2 linked regions of the Macaca mulatta genome follow. The protein of the gene in region 1 purifies or fractionates together with the protein of each later gene. This does not show direct contact. Links are inferred from orthologs where the notes say so. Each region holds a gene or a part of one and is shown on either strand. Other genes may lie near its edges.

What was found.
Region 2: the proteins of SUPT7L (region 1) and ATXN7L3 purify together in Homo sapiens (affinity purification with mass spectrometry; 6 studies listed by BioGRID and IntAct, counting the BioPlex papers as one, with this or other methods). This does not show direct contact. The link is inferred for Macaca mulatta from reciprocal best matches to the Homo sapiens genes SUPT7L and ATXN7L3.

What each region holds. Positions count from the first base shown.
Region 1 is NC_133418.1:97,337,665-97,344,979, reverse strand, and holds part of SUPT7L (STAGA complex 65 subunit gamma), read right to left. Parts: intron 5,303-7,315; coding exon 4,978-5,302; intron 2,931-4,977; coding exon 2,693-2,930; intron 1,079-2,692; coding exon 816-1,078; 3' UTR 1-815.
Region 2 is NC_133421.1:68,566,468-68,574,517, forward strand, and holds the start of ATXN7L3 (ataxin-7-like protein 3), read right to left. Parts: upstream 5,284-8,050; 5' UTR 4,969-5,283; coding exon of another isoform or gene 4,930-4,968; 5' UTR 4,775-4,929; coding exon 4,565-4,774; intron 4,297-4,564; coding exon 4,143-4,296; intron 3,943-4,142; coding exon 3,771-3,942; intron 3,595-3,770; coding exon 3,497-3,594; intron 2,816-3,496; coding exon 2,793-2,815; intron 2,508-2,792; coding exon 2,441-2,507; coding exon of another isoform or gene 2,403-2,440; intron 2,293-2,402; coding exon 2,207-2,292; intron 1,894-2,206; coding exon 1,825-1,893; intron 1,548-1,824; coding exon 1,504-1,547; intron 1,259-1,503; coding exon 1,187-1,258; intron 1,094-1,186; coding exon 936-1,093; intron 833-935; coding exon 684-832; 3' UTR 1-683. UniProt on the Homo sapiens protein: Component of the transcription regulatory histone acetylation (HAT) complex SAGA, a multiprotein complex that activates transcription by remodeling chromatin and mediating histone acetylation and deubiquitination.

The sequences.
Region 1 (7,315 bases):
TGAAATATGCACAAGGTTGTCCTTGGACAGTACTTGTTTGCTTTGCTCACAAAGGAGAAAAGGAAAGAAACAACTGAAAATATGTATATGGTGAAAATATGTGAGTCTGAGCAGAAATAACAAAGGCCAAAAGGATGAGGATAGATGGAATAAATCTAGAGAAGAATATGTGGATGATAGGAGAGAGCTGTCTGAATAAGCAAAAGGCTGTCACTGTAGACCTCTGATCTTATAAATAAGACACTTCAAAAGCAGCAAAAACAGTTTTAAGAAGGTGACTAACAGATAAGGTATGTTGTGTTTCGCTATTTCCTGTTAGGTATTAGTAATGGATTCCCAACGACCTGAGCCAAAAATGAATCAAGTTAAATGAAAACTGACATCTGATATGAGCATATATTATGAGTCTATTCAAGCACAGTTTTGAAGTTAGCAAACACCTAAATCCTCACATCCCTGTAAGGTAGGTCAAAGAAGTATGATTCTCAGTTGTACAAGAGAAATGGCTGTAGAGAAGCTAAGTAACATGTCTAGTCATAGTTAAGACAACAGTCGAGGACGGTGCTTTGCTTTGATTGCCATGCCAGCATCATATTTCATCTGTGAAAGGTGGCTTGGTTGTGGAAAACTATAAAAACTGGATGCAAAAGTAAAATGCAACCTTGTTTGGTGATGTCCAGGTCCTCTGGAATAAGGAAAAACCACTTGTGTTTAAGAACAGGAGTCAAATCAATTTTTATGGAAACAGATTCTAATACAAAAACGTTTTCTGTTGGGTCTAGTAGGTCTGGACAAAAAATCTCCCTCTTTTCCTTTTATATTTTCCTCATCCTCTTCTTGCAGCGCTGGTTGAAAACAGGGGAGGACCCCATGAGGCTGTCAGTGGAGTGGGAACCATAGCTGCTATCTGAGTCATCAGGGCTCTGAGGAATCCCAGCTTCACTCATGCCTGACATGGGCTCCTCGAAGACATCGCTGCCCAGCACACCATGCCCAGAGACATTGCCTTCTTCACTCTCTTGAGGCTCCATTTTCACATGGGCCAGATTCCAAAGAGGAGAAGCATTTACCTCTGCACCTAGAAAGAGAGGAAAGGTGGACATACACCTTGTGGTAAGCCAAGTGTAGAACAAAGTAGAGTAAATATATCACTCAGGACCAACTAATATTCTTTGAGCTCAGTTTTCACTCTGATTCTGTACTTGTCAGGAGAATATGGTTGTTATTCTCTGCTTCAAAAAGTTAACCATCACAAAAAATTACCAGCTCTGATTATCTTCTTTTCCATTTCTTCTACCTTTCTTTCCTCTACCTCACCCACTCCCATTTTCCCTAAACCAGGGAAGTGAAGCTAGGCAGGTGGAAAGATCCCCCGTCTCACAGCCCAAAGACATGCACAACCACAGGCCTTGTTCAGCTCTTTAGTTTGCCTGTCCTTCCTTCTTTTATGGGGCCATCTTGTTTTCCTGCCTTTTGTTTGGGTCTCTGGTCATCTCTCACATTATGAAAAGGTAATGGTCACTACATAATGCTAACAACAGTTCTCTACCTGGTGTCCTTTGAAGAGACATGGTCCCGAAGTCCGTAACAATTTCTCTTTGGCTCTCCCATCTCTCTATGTGTTCTAGCAATGCTGCTCTCTTACGGTTATTCTTCCATAGTGAAAGGCTGTCTGCCCAACACTTTTAAAAGTACGACCTAATTCCATTTAGACCGCATTTGAGGATTTGCTATTTGAGTCATTTGTGCATTGATGAAATGACAATTTATATGTGTAAATAACTGAGTGCCCAGGCTAATTGGCAACCTAACTGACACATAACCAGTTAGTTGTCCTGGCTCCTAAGGTAATCACAGAGCCTGGAAAAAGAAGCCAGATACCTCTAACTGGGAAGCCTTTTTTTTTGTTTTGAGACAGAGTCTTGCTCTGTCGCCCAGGCTGGAGTGCAGTGGCACGATCTCGGCTCATTGCAAGCTCAGCCTCCGGGGTTCACGCCATTCTCCTGCCTCAGCCTCCCGAGTAGCTGGGACTACAGGTGCCCACCATCATGCCTGGCAAATTTTTTGTATTTTTAGTAGAGACGGGGTTTCACCATGTTAGCCAGGATGGTCTTGATCTCCTGACCTCATGATCCGCCTGCCTCGGCCTCCCAAAGTGCTGGGATTACAGGCATAAGCGACCACACCTGGCCGGACGCCCTATTTCAGTGTCTTTCATCTTCCATTTGTTAAGAGTACTTTAGCAGGGAAGCAAAACTCTGAGAACATCCTTGAGCAATTACCACTCTCCCATCTATCTGGCAGCTGTCTTATTCAATGAAGTACAAGCATCAGGAAGGACCAATACAGAATACTAAAAAAAAAATACTGAAGGAGGAAGGGGATAGCTTCCCAACCAGCTGGATCAGCTGAATCAGCCTTGGTAATCAACAGGACAACACATATTGCATCTACATCTTAACTAGGGATTATTTTAAAGAATGCCTGTAAAGCTGCTAATCCTCTCTTCACTAATTAGAAAGAGAAGAATGCTGAGATCTCTAGATAGGTGAAACTGTATTCATTTTAGGACTTTCCATTGTGTCCACTGCTGCTTTTGTTCTTCTACTTCTTGAGCTTGATTCCAAAAAGTGAAAAGTACTGAAACTGGCAGATCTCCCAGAATCAAAATGAGCAAGTTTATTTGTCTTACTTGAAGCCTGTGGTGAAGCTTCAACCTCCAGGTTAGATGGGAAGCGTTCACTCTGAGCCCCAAGCACTCCCATAGGCAGTGACTGGTCTCCAGAAGCAAGGTCAGCCTCCAGCTCCTCACTGACAGGAAAGGTGATGTCGCTCACAGGTTCCTCCTTGATCTTCACAGGTTTCATGTCCTCTGTGGCCTTCTCAGGATTGACAATCCTTTCATATTCTTCAGAGAGTTGCTTACTAATCTGTTGGCAAGCAAGAGTCAATTTTCCAAGGAAATGTTAAAAGCAAGTTGTATAGTCAGCTTGTGACATCCCATGGAGAAGCCAACAGAACACGAATAACAGAATTTTAAAACATTCACTGCCAATGGTAGGGATTTGTTTAAGGTGTTGAGTTTGCATTTATGAGTGATAGAGATATGTAAAGAAAATTGGTTTGGCAGAGAATGTGTATGTCATTAATTAAAAGTAACATAAAGGTAGCCGGGCGTGATGCTCACACCTGTAATCCCAGCACTTTGGGAGGATGAGGCGGGTGGATCACCTGAGGTCGGGATTTCAAGACCAGCCTGACCAATATGGAGAAACCCCATCTCTACTAAAAATACAAAACTAGCCGGGTATGGTGGCACATGCCTGTAATCCCAGCTACTTGAGAGGCTGAGGCAGGAGAATCGCTTGAACCCAGGAGGCGGAGGTTGCGGTGAGCCAAGATTGCGCCACTGCACTCCAGCCTGGGTGACAAGAGCGAAACTCCGTCTCAAAAAAAAAAAAAAGTAACATAAAGGTAAAAAGTGTTAAAACAGAACTGGGACAAAAGATTACATTTTTTTTTGGCTATAAAAATTAACAGGAGGCTGGGCACAGTCATTCACACCTGTCATCCCGGTACTTTGGGAGGCCAAGGCGGGAGGACCACTTGAGCCTAGGAGTCTGAGACCAGCTTGGGCAACATCTAGTGAGATCCTATCTCTACAAAAAAAAAAAAAAGAGCTGGGCATGGTGGTTCACATCTGTGGTCTTAGCTACTTGGGAGGCTGAGGTGGAACGATCACTTGAGCCTAGCAGGTTAAGGCTGTAGTGAGCTGTGATTGTGCCACTGCACTCCAGCCCAGGCAACCCTGTCTAAAAAGAGGAAAAACAAATTGACATATGTATCCTAGGTGAATAATCAATGGTGTGGGAAATCTGGATCACTTAGCAAAGACTTTTCTTGGGTGTTAAATATTTTAGACCTGCAGAGACTGAAATAGTGAACAAATGACTTAAGAGCACAAGGGCTGAAGAGGTTAGCTGGTTCCAACCAAAATCACCCCTCACCAACCCATCCTCCAGGCAATATCATTTTACTTTTTTTCATGGCACTTAACATTATACAAAATTGTATTTTTGTAAGTATGTGCTTAGAGACAGCTAAGTCTTGCTATATTGCCCAGGCTGGCCTTAAACTTCTGGCCTCAAACAATCCTCCCACCTCAGCCTCCCAAGCAGCTATATTAGAGATATATATTACAATTCTAGTCAAACCATTATATTAGCTGCTTGGGAGGCTGAGGCGGGAGGATTGCCAGTAGGAGATCTATGTTTTCTTTTTTTTTTTTTTCAGACAGGGTCTTGCTCTGTCACCCAGGTTGGAGTGCAATGGCACAATCATGGCTCGCAGCAGCCTTAACTTCCTGGTCTCAAGTGATCTCACCTCACACTCCCGCGTAGCTGAGACCACAGGCATGAGCCACCATGTCCAGCTAATTTTTATTTTTAAATTTTCTATAGAGATGGGGGTCTCACTATATTGTCCAGGCTGGTCTTGAACTCCTGGCCTCAAGCAATCCTCCCACCTCAGCTTCCCAAGTAGCTGGGATTACAGGTATGTGCCATCATGCCCAGCTCCTGAAATTGTTTTGATCATTTTTTGTTGACTTGTGTTTGTTTCCCTTCAAAAACAATGTACGCTCAGGTAACTTAGTAACTGCTGAATCCCACAATGCTTGACTCTCAACAGGCACTCAATAAATACTTGATGAATAAAGTCAGACTACCTGCATTCTCTCAGATTCCATATACTTGTGGATAGTTTCTTCCAGAGGAAGTATCTGTGAATGTGGCCATTCATTGACTAAAGGAGACCCATTTGGCCAGGAACATCGCTAGGGCCATCATAAAAGTATGTTAAGTTCACTCGGTTCCAAGACTCTGTGCTCTGCACTCTAGACCAAGTGCTGTGGGATCCTGCTGAACACTCCTAGATTGCACAGACATCTGTGCCCACTTTTCAACAGGGTCGCCTCACCTGTAGCATGTAACTGTGATAGTCCTTGATGCGGTGCTGCCAGAACTTCTGGAGGGAGAGCACACTGCCGATACCCACTTCATGGAATACCTGCTCCATCACATCTGGAAAAGGAGTCTGTCCCAGCCGGGCCTCCCGGTCCACAGCAAAACGCAACAACTTGGTAAACTTAAGGCAATACTCATGTGCCACATCAGTTAGGGTCTCCAGGACACTTTCATTAGCACAGTCAAAGCCTGCGTGGGCCAGGATTGTGGCCACTGCCTGGTAAAGGAGCTGCCGACAGGAGTGCCAGCTGAGTTCAGTCACAGGTTCCCCTTTCCCACTGAAAGTGGAGATATGATGGTGTTATTAATGTTCTTGCAAAGGGGTGACCTCACCTGTCTCCCCAGAAGTTTTACAATTCCAGTCAAGCCACTAGCCTAGCTTTCCAGGGAAATTCTATCCAAGTTACATAGCTCAGTTTCATCCTGCTGCTATCAGGACATGTCTTAGCAACCCATGGTTATATCTTTGAGCTCCTCCAAAGACATAGTTTGAATAGGCAATACATGTCTATAATACACAGTCCAAAAGGATATCTAGTGAAAAGAAAGTTTCCTTCTAGCAACTGTTAAATTTTGATCACTTTTAGGATTAAGTTTAACAGTATAGCCCAGACACTGCTCAGTGATGCTCTAATTATTTTACCACAACCTCGTTTTCATACATGCTGGGCAATATATTAATACAAACTTTTAGAAATTCGTAGTTCCAATAAAGAGATTCTTCACAGCTTGCCAGGAGTTTAAGATTCTTAGATTCTTATAAAATTACAAGGGACCATTTCAAAACAGGTAAGGCAACTCAATTTTATAAAAGCAATTTAAAACGTATATAGCTTATAAAGCATTTTCATCCTATCCTGTGTTGTGCAATGGGTAGGGTCTGCATTATTATTATTTCTATTTGCCAGGAGAGGAAACAGGTTCGGAAGGGCTGACTTGCCAAAATTTGTTTACATGTTATTAATAAGTGGTAAAGCTTCTGACTCCAGAAACCGTATCCTTCATAATACACCATTTTGCCCCAATCACCACTACAGAAATCTTAATATTTCTAAGAAAAAATTTAAGAAAGCTATTTGATCTAAAAATAACTTAAGAAGCTTTTAATAATTTACCCATCTCTTGAAATTTCCTATTGGCTTCTGCCTATCCCTGACAAAGGAATTTATTTTACCAATAAAAATAAAATAGAGCACAGAAAATCATATTTCCCTGGTTCATACTTGGCATGTGTCATCACGCACTGTACAAAAGTACCCGAGGGGTTATCCACCCACTAAACCCTGACCTGTTCAATAGCAACTATTGCAGTTTACATAATAGTTTTGAGAATAAGACAATTAATTGCCAAGTAACTTCATTTACTATCGTCATCATTTCTATGGCCAGTGTCTCTGGGCCAAAAGCTAAAGGCCTCAGAGGTACCTAATAAACAGAGACAACTAAACCAATATCACTTTCCTAGAATAATATGTGGACCTCTTTCAAAGGAAAATAATTTTTTGGTGCCCTCATAGCTGATGTGAATTATTTTTGTTATACAGTTTCTTAAATATGTATAAAATAAAACCATGTAAAAACGTTTGATGGTTATGGCTCTTACTAACACTATAAATTTGATACAAAACTAAAAATGAATAAATAACAGTATCAATTTAATATGATAGATAACATTATGTTGTTGAAATTAAATTGCCCTCAGTATGTGAATACAGTATTGATCACCACAGAGCAAGTTTTTTGAGTTGGGCATGTCTATGCTAGCATATATTTGCTGTGTATGTAATAACAGTTATGCCTCCCCTTTTCATTATTCCAGTGACTTCAGAACTTTTTATTACAGTGGACCTTGATATAATCTGGCCTTCACCTGGCCCAACTGCAATGCAACCCTTACGTATTTAGTCTATTTCTGTACTTTTCTCGTTAGTTTGGGAACCATTAAAATAGTATTATTGGTGGCCGGGCGCGGTGGCTCAAGCCTGTAATCCCAGCACTTTGGGAGGCCGAGACGGGCTGATCACGAGGTCAGGAGATCGAGACCATCCTGGCTAACACGGTGAAACCCCATCTCTACTAAAAAATACAAAAAACTAGCCGAGCGAAGTGGCAGGTGCCTGTAGTCCCAGCTACTCGGGAGGCTATGGCAGGAGAATGGTGTGAACCCGAGAGGCGGAGCTTGCAGTGAGCTGAGATCCGGCCACTACACTGCAGCCTGGGTGACAGAGCAAGACTTCGTCTCAAAAAAAAAAAAAAAAAAAATAGTATTATTGGCAACAGGTAGATGTAAT
Region 2 (8,050 bases), on another chromosome or scaffold:
TCCTGGCACCCAACAACAAAAGGACAGCTCCTGCTGCCAAGGAGGCCCATGGGGACTGAGGGGAAAGGGCTGCCCCTGTGAGGGGCAGGGAAGGTGGCGGCAGTTCTGGACGCCCACCTCAGCAGACAGCACTCTGTGCCTGCCTACCCCTGGGACTGGGGGCATTTGATAGGATTCTGCACACAGACAGGACATGCCCAGCCTTGCCCCTCAGCTCCAAGCACCGGACCCATTCACATTGCTGAGGGCGGCCAAGGCAGGCCCCCTCCAGGCTCAGCTTCCAACCCACAGCCTCCCGGGTCACCACATTGCCCCTCAGCAGGGCTTAGTCCAGTTCCTGGGGTGGGGGGCAGGCAGTGCCCTGGCACAGCGCCCAGGTCAGGCCCCTGGCCTAGCTGGACATCCAGTAACTCACAGAATAAATAGGAAAACTGCCTCCCCACCAAACTTATGTCCAAGGCATAATATGTCCAGGTCTGAGTCCTGCACGCTGAGGAGTCGTGCTCCATTGCAGAGGACTTTGACACCCCCCAGGGGCGCATAATCGGATCCTCTGCCTGCCTGGCCCACCAAGCTTCCCAAGCCCCAACCCCCAGCAGCCGTCCATTTGCCAGGCTATGCCACCTGGGTGGGGGTCAGGAGAGAGGGCTCTGCTCAGCCAAAGGCTATCCCTTGCACCCAAGTCAGTTGATGTCATCATAGATGCTGGGCGTCGGGGGTGCCGGTGGCTTTGGCTTCTTCTTCTTGTTGGAACCTAGGCCGGAGGCAGTCCCTACCAGGCTCAGATGGGATTTCTTTTTCTTGGTTTTCCGTGACTCAGAGCTGTTGGTACCTGTAGAGAAAGAGACACAAAGGATGAGAGTAGGGTTGTGGCAGGAGAGGTGGCACTCCCATGGCTTCGGGCACAGCCCCTGGGGCCCAACTGTATCACGTACCTAGACCCCATCCCTGATTTTCACTCGTCTTGGAGGAGCCTGAATCAGAGGGTGAGAGGTCAGAGGAGCCATCCCACTGAAGCCGGCTGATCAGGGCCTGGCTGTCAGTCATGTCAAAGCTGTCATTATCCAGGGAGCTCTCGACCTCTGGAAGGACGCTAGAAAGGGGATGAGCCAAAGAAGGGCTTTACAGATAGCGATCATCGCCCTAACTGGTCATAACCCCCCATCCCTCCTGTAGGGCCACTTACGCCGAGGGCCCGAGAAAATAAATCCGCACGGTTCGCCTCTGCTCATCTGTGTGCTGTGGGCAGCGTAGGGACCTGGTGGTGAGGCAAGGCAGGGAGGGGTCTGAGGAACTCAGGTAAAGCCCCTCCTCTCGGCAAGGCAGGAGCCACAGGCACAGACAGGGAAGGGAAGAGTGCAGATTCGTCCCCAGACTGTGGCCGAAGGCCTGATCATTAGAGGAGGGAAGGGGAAGGGCAGAAGCCCCATTGCTCAAGTCCGACCCATGCCCATGGTGAGTGTGCAGGAGGCCCCTGGCCCCCTTTCTAGGTTCTGTGCTCACCTTGTGCACATCTTCTTGGTGTGTTCAGAAATCACCCCACATTGCTGGAAGAGGAATATAAGCTGAAAGGAGGGATGGAGGGAACCTACTCTAGATGCTAGATGTTCCCTTCTGCATAAATGCTAGAAAGCACAAGCAGAGATGGCCCCAAGGTGTCCAGAGCAGACAGTCCCAGGACACTATGGGCCAGGAAACCTAATTCCAGAAAGAGAGAACAATATGGCCCTGACTGCTATGTCACCAGCTTCCTCCCCGGCCTTGACCACTGCCTATGGCTCCAGCCCACTCCCAAGGGCCTTCTCCCTTGCCGGTCCCCCTCACCGTGGTGAGCAGGCTGCGAAGCTCCTCTGGCCCCAGGGTCTCATAGCTGATCCCAGTTGAATTGTTATACTGCAGGAGAACCAGAGGTACAGGTTAGAGATGGGGCAGAGAAGAGACAGGGGCCGGGGGGAAGCGAGAATCAGTCCCTCTGGTGCCTTTCTAAGCGAGAGGCTTTAGGACAACCCTGCCGTTTTCCAAGTGATTTCTCTCATCCCACCTGCCTATGGATAAGGGGCGGGACTCAGAAAGAACATAAATATATAAGATCCAAATAGCTCATCAGTGCCTCTGGCTGTCAGCATTCTGATCCCTACTTGTCCAAATCCCTACCACCTCACAACCAGGACAATGAGAGCAAGTGCGAGGGACGGCCCATACTCACCTTAAAAGGATCCGAATTGCTAAGTTCCCCTGAAGAAGAAAAAAGAAGGGGAAGGGTGTTTGATGCAGAGGTACAGACAGAGAACCCTGAAAATAACCAGAGAGGAAGTGGGGGTGACAGAAGGATCACAGGCCCTCCCTCAATTCCCCTATCCCCGGGCCCCACCTCCACCCCCCGGCAATGAGTCCCAGAAGACGTAGCTAGAAGCAATCCCATTGCTCCGGCCCCACTTACCATTTTTGTGTTTTAAAGACTTGGATCTTCGAGGGGAATTGGGGTTCTGGAATGGGAGATACCATAGCTTTGGGGAAAGGGTAACGATAAGGGGGAGCCGAGAACCCAGGGAAGGAAAAAAGATTTGACAAAGCAGCATCCTCAAATTCCTACTCTTCCTCCCCAGTAGGAGGCCTGTCTACCCATGTGCCCTCCCCTGCCCTCCATTCCCACACCCCACCCGCCCACCACAGACACCCTCAAGCCCCCAGTGACCTCAGCCTTGAGTCAAGACACTTGAGGACTCCCTGCCCAAAGGGGAGGGTATCTGTCCTTTGCCCATTAATTCCCCAATGCTTGCCCCGGCTCTCACCTTGTCTGATTTCCTCTTCTTGGCTAAGGGGGAACAAAAGCATAAAGAGCAGGGTTTCCGTTAAGTTCTCAATCTAAAAGCATCTCAAGAAAACTGTACAATAGGCTGGGCGCAGTGGCTCACGCCTATAATCCCAGCACTTTGGGAGGCCCGGGCGGGCGGATCATGAAGTCAGGAGATTAAGACCATCCTGGCCAATATGGTGTAACCCCATCTCTACTAAAAACAAAAAAATTAGCTCGCCGTGGTAGCGCACACCTGTAATCCTGGCTACTCAGGAGGCTGAGACAGGGGAATCACTTGAACCCAGGAGACGGAGGTTGCAGTGAGCCAAGATTGCGCCAATGCACCCCATCCTGGGCAACAGAGCAAGATTCCGTCTCAAAAAAAAAAAAGAAAAAGGAAACCGCACAACTATACTCTCTCTTCATCATTCAAGACAACAACCTTAGCCAGGCGCAGTGGCGGGCGCCTGTAGTCCCAGCTACTCGGGAGGCTGAGGCAGGAGAATGGCGTGAACCCGGGAGGCGGAGCCTGCAGTGAGCCGAGATTGCGCCACTGCACTCCAGCCTGGGCGACAGAGCAAGACTCCGTCTCAAAAAAAAAAAAAAAAAAAAAGACAACAACCTGTGACCACTTTATACCCAATTTCTGCTTCCCACCTCATCCCAATGCTCCCCAAGTTTCCCCAGATCCCCAAGCACCTTTCTTTTCCGAGCCATAAGACCAATCGTTGTCATTGATGTCATCATTATCCTCTTGGTCACTCTCAGACTTATTCATATTGTTGCTATTGGCAATCCTGCCAAAGGGAGGGAAGAGAAAGGGTCAAGGGGGTCACCCCACTCTGCCCCCAACTTCAGAGGCACGTGGGGTATCTGGGGCCAAGTAAAACCCACTCTCGGTACCCTCCTAATGCCCCCGGGGTACTACACCATGGCACAGGCTGCAGAGAATGGGCATCTCTGGTTCTCTCACCGGCGGTTGGCGATTCGGCTGCTGTTCCGACCCATTCCCAGGCACTTCTCCAGATGGGGAGCAAAGCGGGAGGCGGCAATGCTGCGACTGCAATTGGGGCAAACACACTCCTTGCTCTTCCACTGGTTGAAAACCTGTCCAAAGATGTCCAACCCCGGCTGGTCCACGATCTCTGGGGACAGGAGAGGCTGGCGATCAGGGTGGGCAGGGGACCCTCTCCTCTTGTTCCCACCTGGGGTCCCACGGCCTCTTCAATCCCTCCCCCGGCTCACAGGAGCTCCAGATGCTACATCTAGCACAGTTTCCAGAGAAGGAAACTCCAAACAGTCCCAGGAAAGGGCTGGACTGCTGCTCCTTCACCCTGAAGCTCACCAAAATCCTTCATGCTATCAGGGTCCGTGTCGTCCAGGAAGAAGTAGCCACACTTGACAGCCCGGTGTACCTCAAAGCAGAATCCCAAACAAGAATCCTCGACCAGGTCCGCATATATCTCCTGAGCGATGGCCTGGGCCCCAGGGGAGAACATCTACGGTCACAAGAGTCACAGCCCCCTGGACTCTCACCAACCAAATCTGCTGCCATCTGGCCCCAGCCAAAAATCACGCTTTCTTTGCCATTTTCCCCATCTTGACTTCGTGTTCTTTCTTCTTCCTGGATCCTTGGCCTTTTCAGCTGGCTATTCCCTTTAAGGAACAAGGCTGACTACCCAAATTCCTCTTTGGTGTGGATGCCAGATATAGCGACGTAGAGACATCAAGAGAAAGAACTGGAGGCACACGTGGGGGAGCCCTCACCTCTAGTTTGCTGTTATCCAGGCCAGACAAAGACATTTCCTCCATTTTCATTTGTAAACTCTTGTGGAGACGGCGCTCTGACTGCTCATAGCACAGCGGGCGGCAACACGGCTGCACACACGGGGGTGGGGGTGTTGTTGTGAGTCCAAGGCACCTCTGAAGGCGGCCACCTTCCCTCCCACCTCGCTGCCCAGAGCTCAGTCCTGGCATCAGGGTCTCTCCCTCCCCAAGGCCCAGGCTCACTAAGTCTGGATGGTCCTTCAGGGCCTGAAACCTAAAGGGGGCCTAGTCTTTCCCAGGCCTGAGCTCAGGCCCTGGACTCCACTGCCAATCAGAGTCTGGGTCTATAGGAGGCAGCAGCTCACCCTAGGTCCCCAAAACTCAAACCCCTCTTTGATACCCATGGTGCAATGCAGCAGGGGGAGGAGAAGGAACTCCAAGGCCTCAAAGCAAACCCACAGGGTGTGGCAAAGAACTGCACAGACTCCTAAATACACCCCCCCGCCTTCCCTAAAGACTCTCCTCAGAGTCACCTCTGCTTTCAGCCAGGATGTCCACTTGGGGGGGTACTGCTACCAGAAGTAGAAATGGCCCTAGGACCCTACAACCTTCACCCCACTCTGCCTTCCCTTGAAATCAGCCTGCCACTCCACGAGGGAAGCAGAGCTCACAGGAGCCTAGAGCTAAGGGACATTTCCAGCCACCATGAGCAGGAGCGGCGGGGCGGGGGGGGGGTGCCCGGTGGGGTGGCACGCCAGGAGCGGGCACTCCCCTTACCTGTTCTTCCTTTAAATAACCACCCACCCTCCCTCAGGACCAGCCCGGAAGTCTCTCCAAGAGCCCCAAAGTCCAGGAACCCCCACCCAAGGATTCAGACACAGCACCCACAGCCCAGGGCCCCTCGGAACGGTGGGTACGAGTTTCAGGAGCCGCCGGCCTAGAGTGGGGTGGGGACTGACGAATGAGCCGGGGGCACTGGGAAGGGTAGGAGGCCGGGCCTCGGCTCTTCCCCCGTCCCTGCGGCACTGCTGCTGCATCATACCGACTGGGGGGAGGAGAGCCGAGCCGCCGGGGCCGGCACCGGGCCGGGACAGACCGACCCCCAGAGAGTGGACAGAGTGGGACGCGTCCCGGCCCCTCTCCTTCCCCGCCCGCCAGCAGCCCCGGCCGGCCGGGGAGAGGAGTCCGGGAGGGTGTCTCTATTGTCCCGGGGGCTGGGGCCTGGCTCCCTAACAAAGGCCCCGCGCCCCCTCCCCGGCCGGCCCTGCCCCGCCCAAGGGGGACCCAGACGGGGGAGAGCTGGGGGCCCCGGCCCGGCCGGGAAGCTGGGGGAAGCCGGGCGTTTCCGCGTCGGCCCGGGGGGAGGGGAAGGGGCGCTGACCCAGACCTGGGGGGAGGGGGCCCAAGCCCCGCCTCGGGCCCCGCCCCCCGCCCCCCGCAGGCCCCTCCCCCGTCCCCGTCTCCGTCCCGTACTCACCCCGCCCGGGGGGCCGCGCCGGGGCCCGGCGGCCTCTCAGGGCCGCGTCCTCCGGCGGCGGCGGCGGCGGCGGCTGCTCCGGAGCCCCATGTCCGTCGGTCCGTCCTCGCCTCTCCCCGGGGCCCAGGGCCCGGGGCCGGGGGGTCGGGCCGCCCCCCCGCCTCGCCGCCTCACCGGGCGGCCATGGCCCCTTCCCCTCCCTTCTTGTCCCGTCGCCGCCTCCTCCTCCTCACCTCACCCCGCCCGCGCGCAGTCCGCGCGCCGTCCGCGCGCCCCTCCCCCCGCCCCCCACTCCAGCCCGCCTCTCCCGGGCGGGGGGTGCGGCGCGAGCCCGGAGCGCGCGCGCGTGTGCCGCGACCGGAGGATGGATGGATGGAGCGAGCGAGAACGCGAACGTGCGCGCGCGCGCCCCTCTCCCCCTCCCTCCGCGCGGGCGCGAGGCCAAGCGCGAGCGCGCTCCAACCTCCTCCTCTTCCTCCTCCCGCCCCTCCCCAACACCCCGCCCTCCCCCTCCCTTCCTCTTCCTTCTTTCGCTTTCGCGCGCCCAGCGACTGCTCGCGCCTGCTAGAAGGGCCCGAGCGCGTGCATCTGCCCCGCGGCCGCAGCTCGGCAGCATTTGCTCCAGGGGGCGGGGACCGGGAGGGGAGGAGGGGCGCCACGCCGCCGTCCAAAGTACCGGCGGACGGGGACGGGGGCGGGGAGATGGGCGGGGCCTTCGCGGACCTCCCCGACCAATCGCCGAGAGGCCTCGGCCCGGGAGGCCCAATAAGATGGGGGTGGGTGGGGCGGCGTTCAAGGTGAGGTGCGCGGTGCGCTGGGGGCGGAGACATTGTGCCGTCCCGGCCGGCTCGGGGGCGGGGGCAGCGGGTGGCGTCGAAAGAGAGCGCCGGCTCCTAGCCGATCCTGGGACGCCTTCCGGCCCAGGCTTCCCCGCCCTTCCCTCGGGGCTCCCCGCTCTCTCCCCCCCCTCCGCTCCCCCCTTTACCCCGAGGCGTGCAGCCACTTCTGTGAAGAGGCCAGACTTGAAGTGGGGCGCAGTTAGGACCTCGGAGCGGAAAGCCCGTAGAATCGAAGGGGCTCGCCCGCGCCTCAGTTCTCCTGGTTTCTGGGCGGGTCTCAGCCCACGCCAGGCCTGCGGACCAACAAGCGGCCGAGATGAGGGTCCGCTGCTGAGGTCGGAGGCCAAGCTGCGCCCTTCTGCGCGGAGCGCCCTCCCCACCCCTCATCCTAATTTAGATCCCACACCTGCTTGCCTTTCCTGCTTCCGGAACCCACGCTGGACCCCCCACCCCTCAAGACAGCCTGCCTGGCACTGGCCAGATCCTTCCCCCGACCCAGTGCTTTTCTCCTGGGTGCAGAGTGTCCCTATGCTCACGCTCTCAGTCCCTCTTTAGGAAGGAGCGGGCCTTTTCCCAGCCGCGGTGGATGGCTGGATTGGCGCTTTCATCTCGGTTACTCTGTGTCTGGTGTCCTGGAACGGTTGTGTGACAGCCCTCTCCCCTCAAGAGATAAGATTAAAAAGGAGGATAGTCTGAAATCACATACTTGGAGCCATCTTTGGTTTTTAGTTTTCCGCAAATATTTTATTCTCACCGATTTCTCCTGAGAAACAGCAAACATTTATTGAGGCGATATTCCAGAGTAGTTAAGATCAGGCGTCTGATTTGAATTTAAATCGTTGGATCTAGCAAATGAGTTTCCTCTGCCTCAGTTTCCTCTGTTGTCAGTGGGCATAATGATAGTCCTATCTCATTGCGTTGCTGTAGTGATTAACAAGTCAGTGCATGTGAAACTCTTAGCTCTGTGTAAGTGCTTGGTAAATCTTAGCTGTTATTCTTACGGTGCTCCAGGTGCTGGGACAAAAGATGATATAAGACAGTTGTGCTTCTTCAAGAAGTTCACTGTCTTGTGGGATAGACAGGTAGGATAATAATTGCAAAAGAGTGTGACGAAAACAGCAGAGAGAGAACAGAGGTAGCCAGAAGGAGACATCAAATAATGTAAGAGAG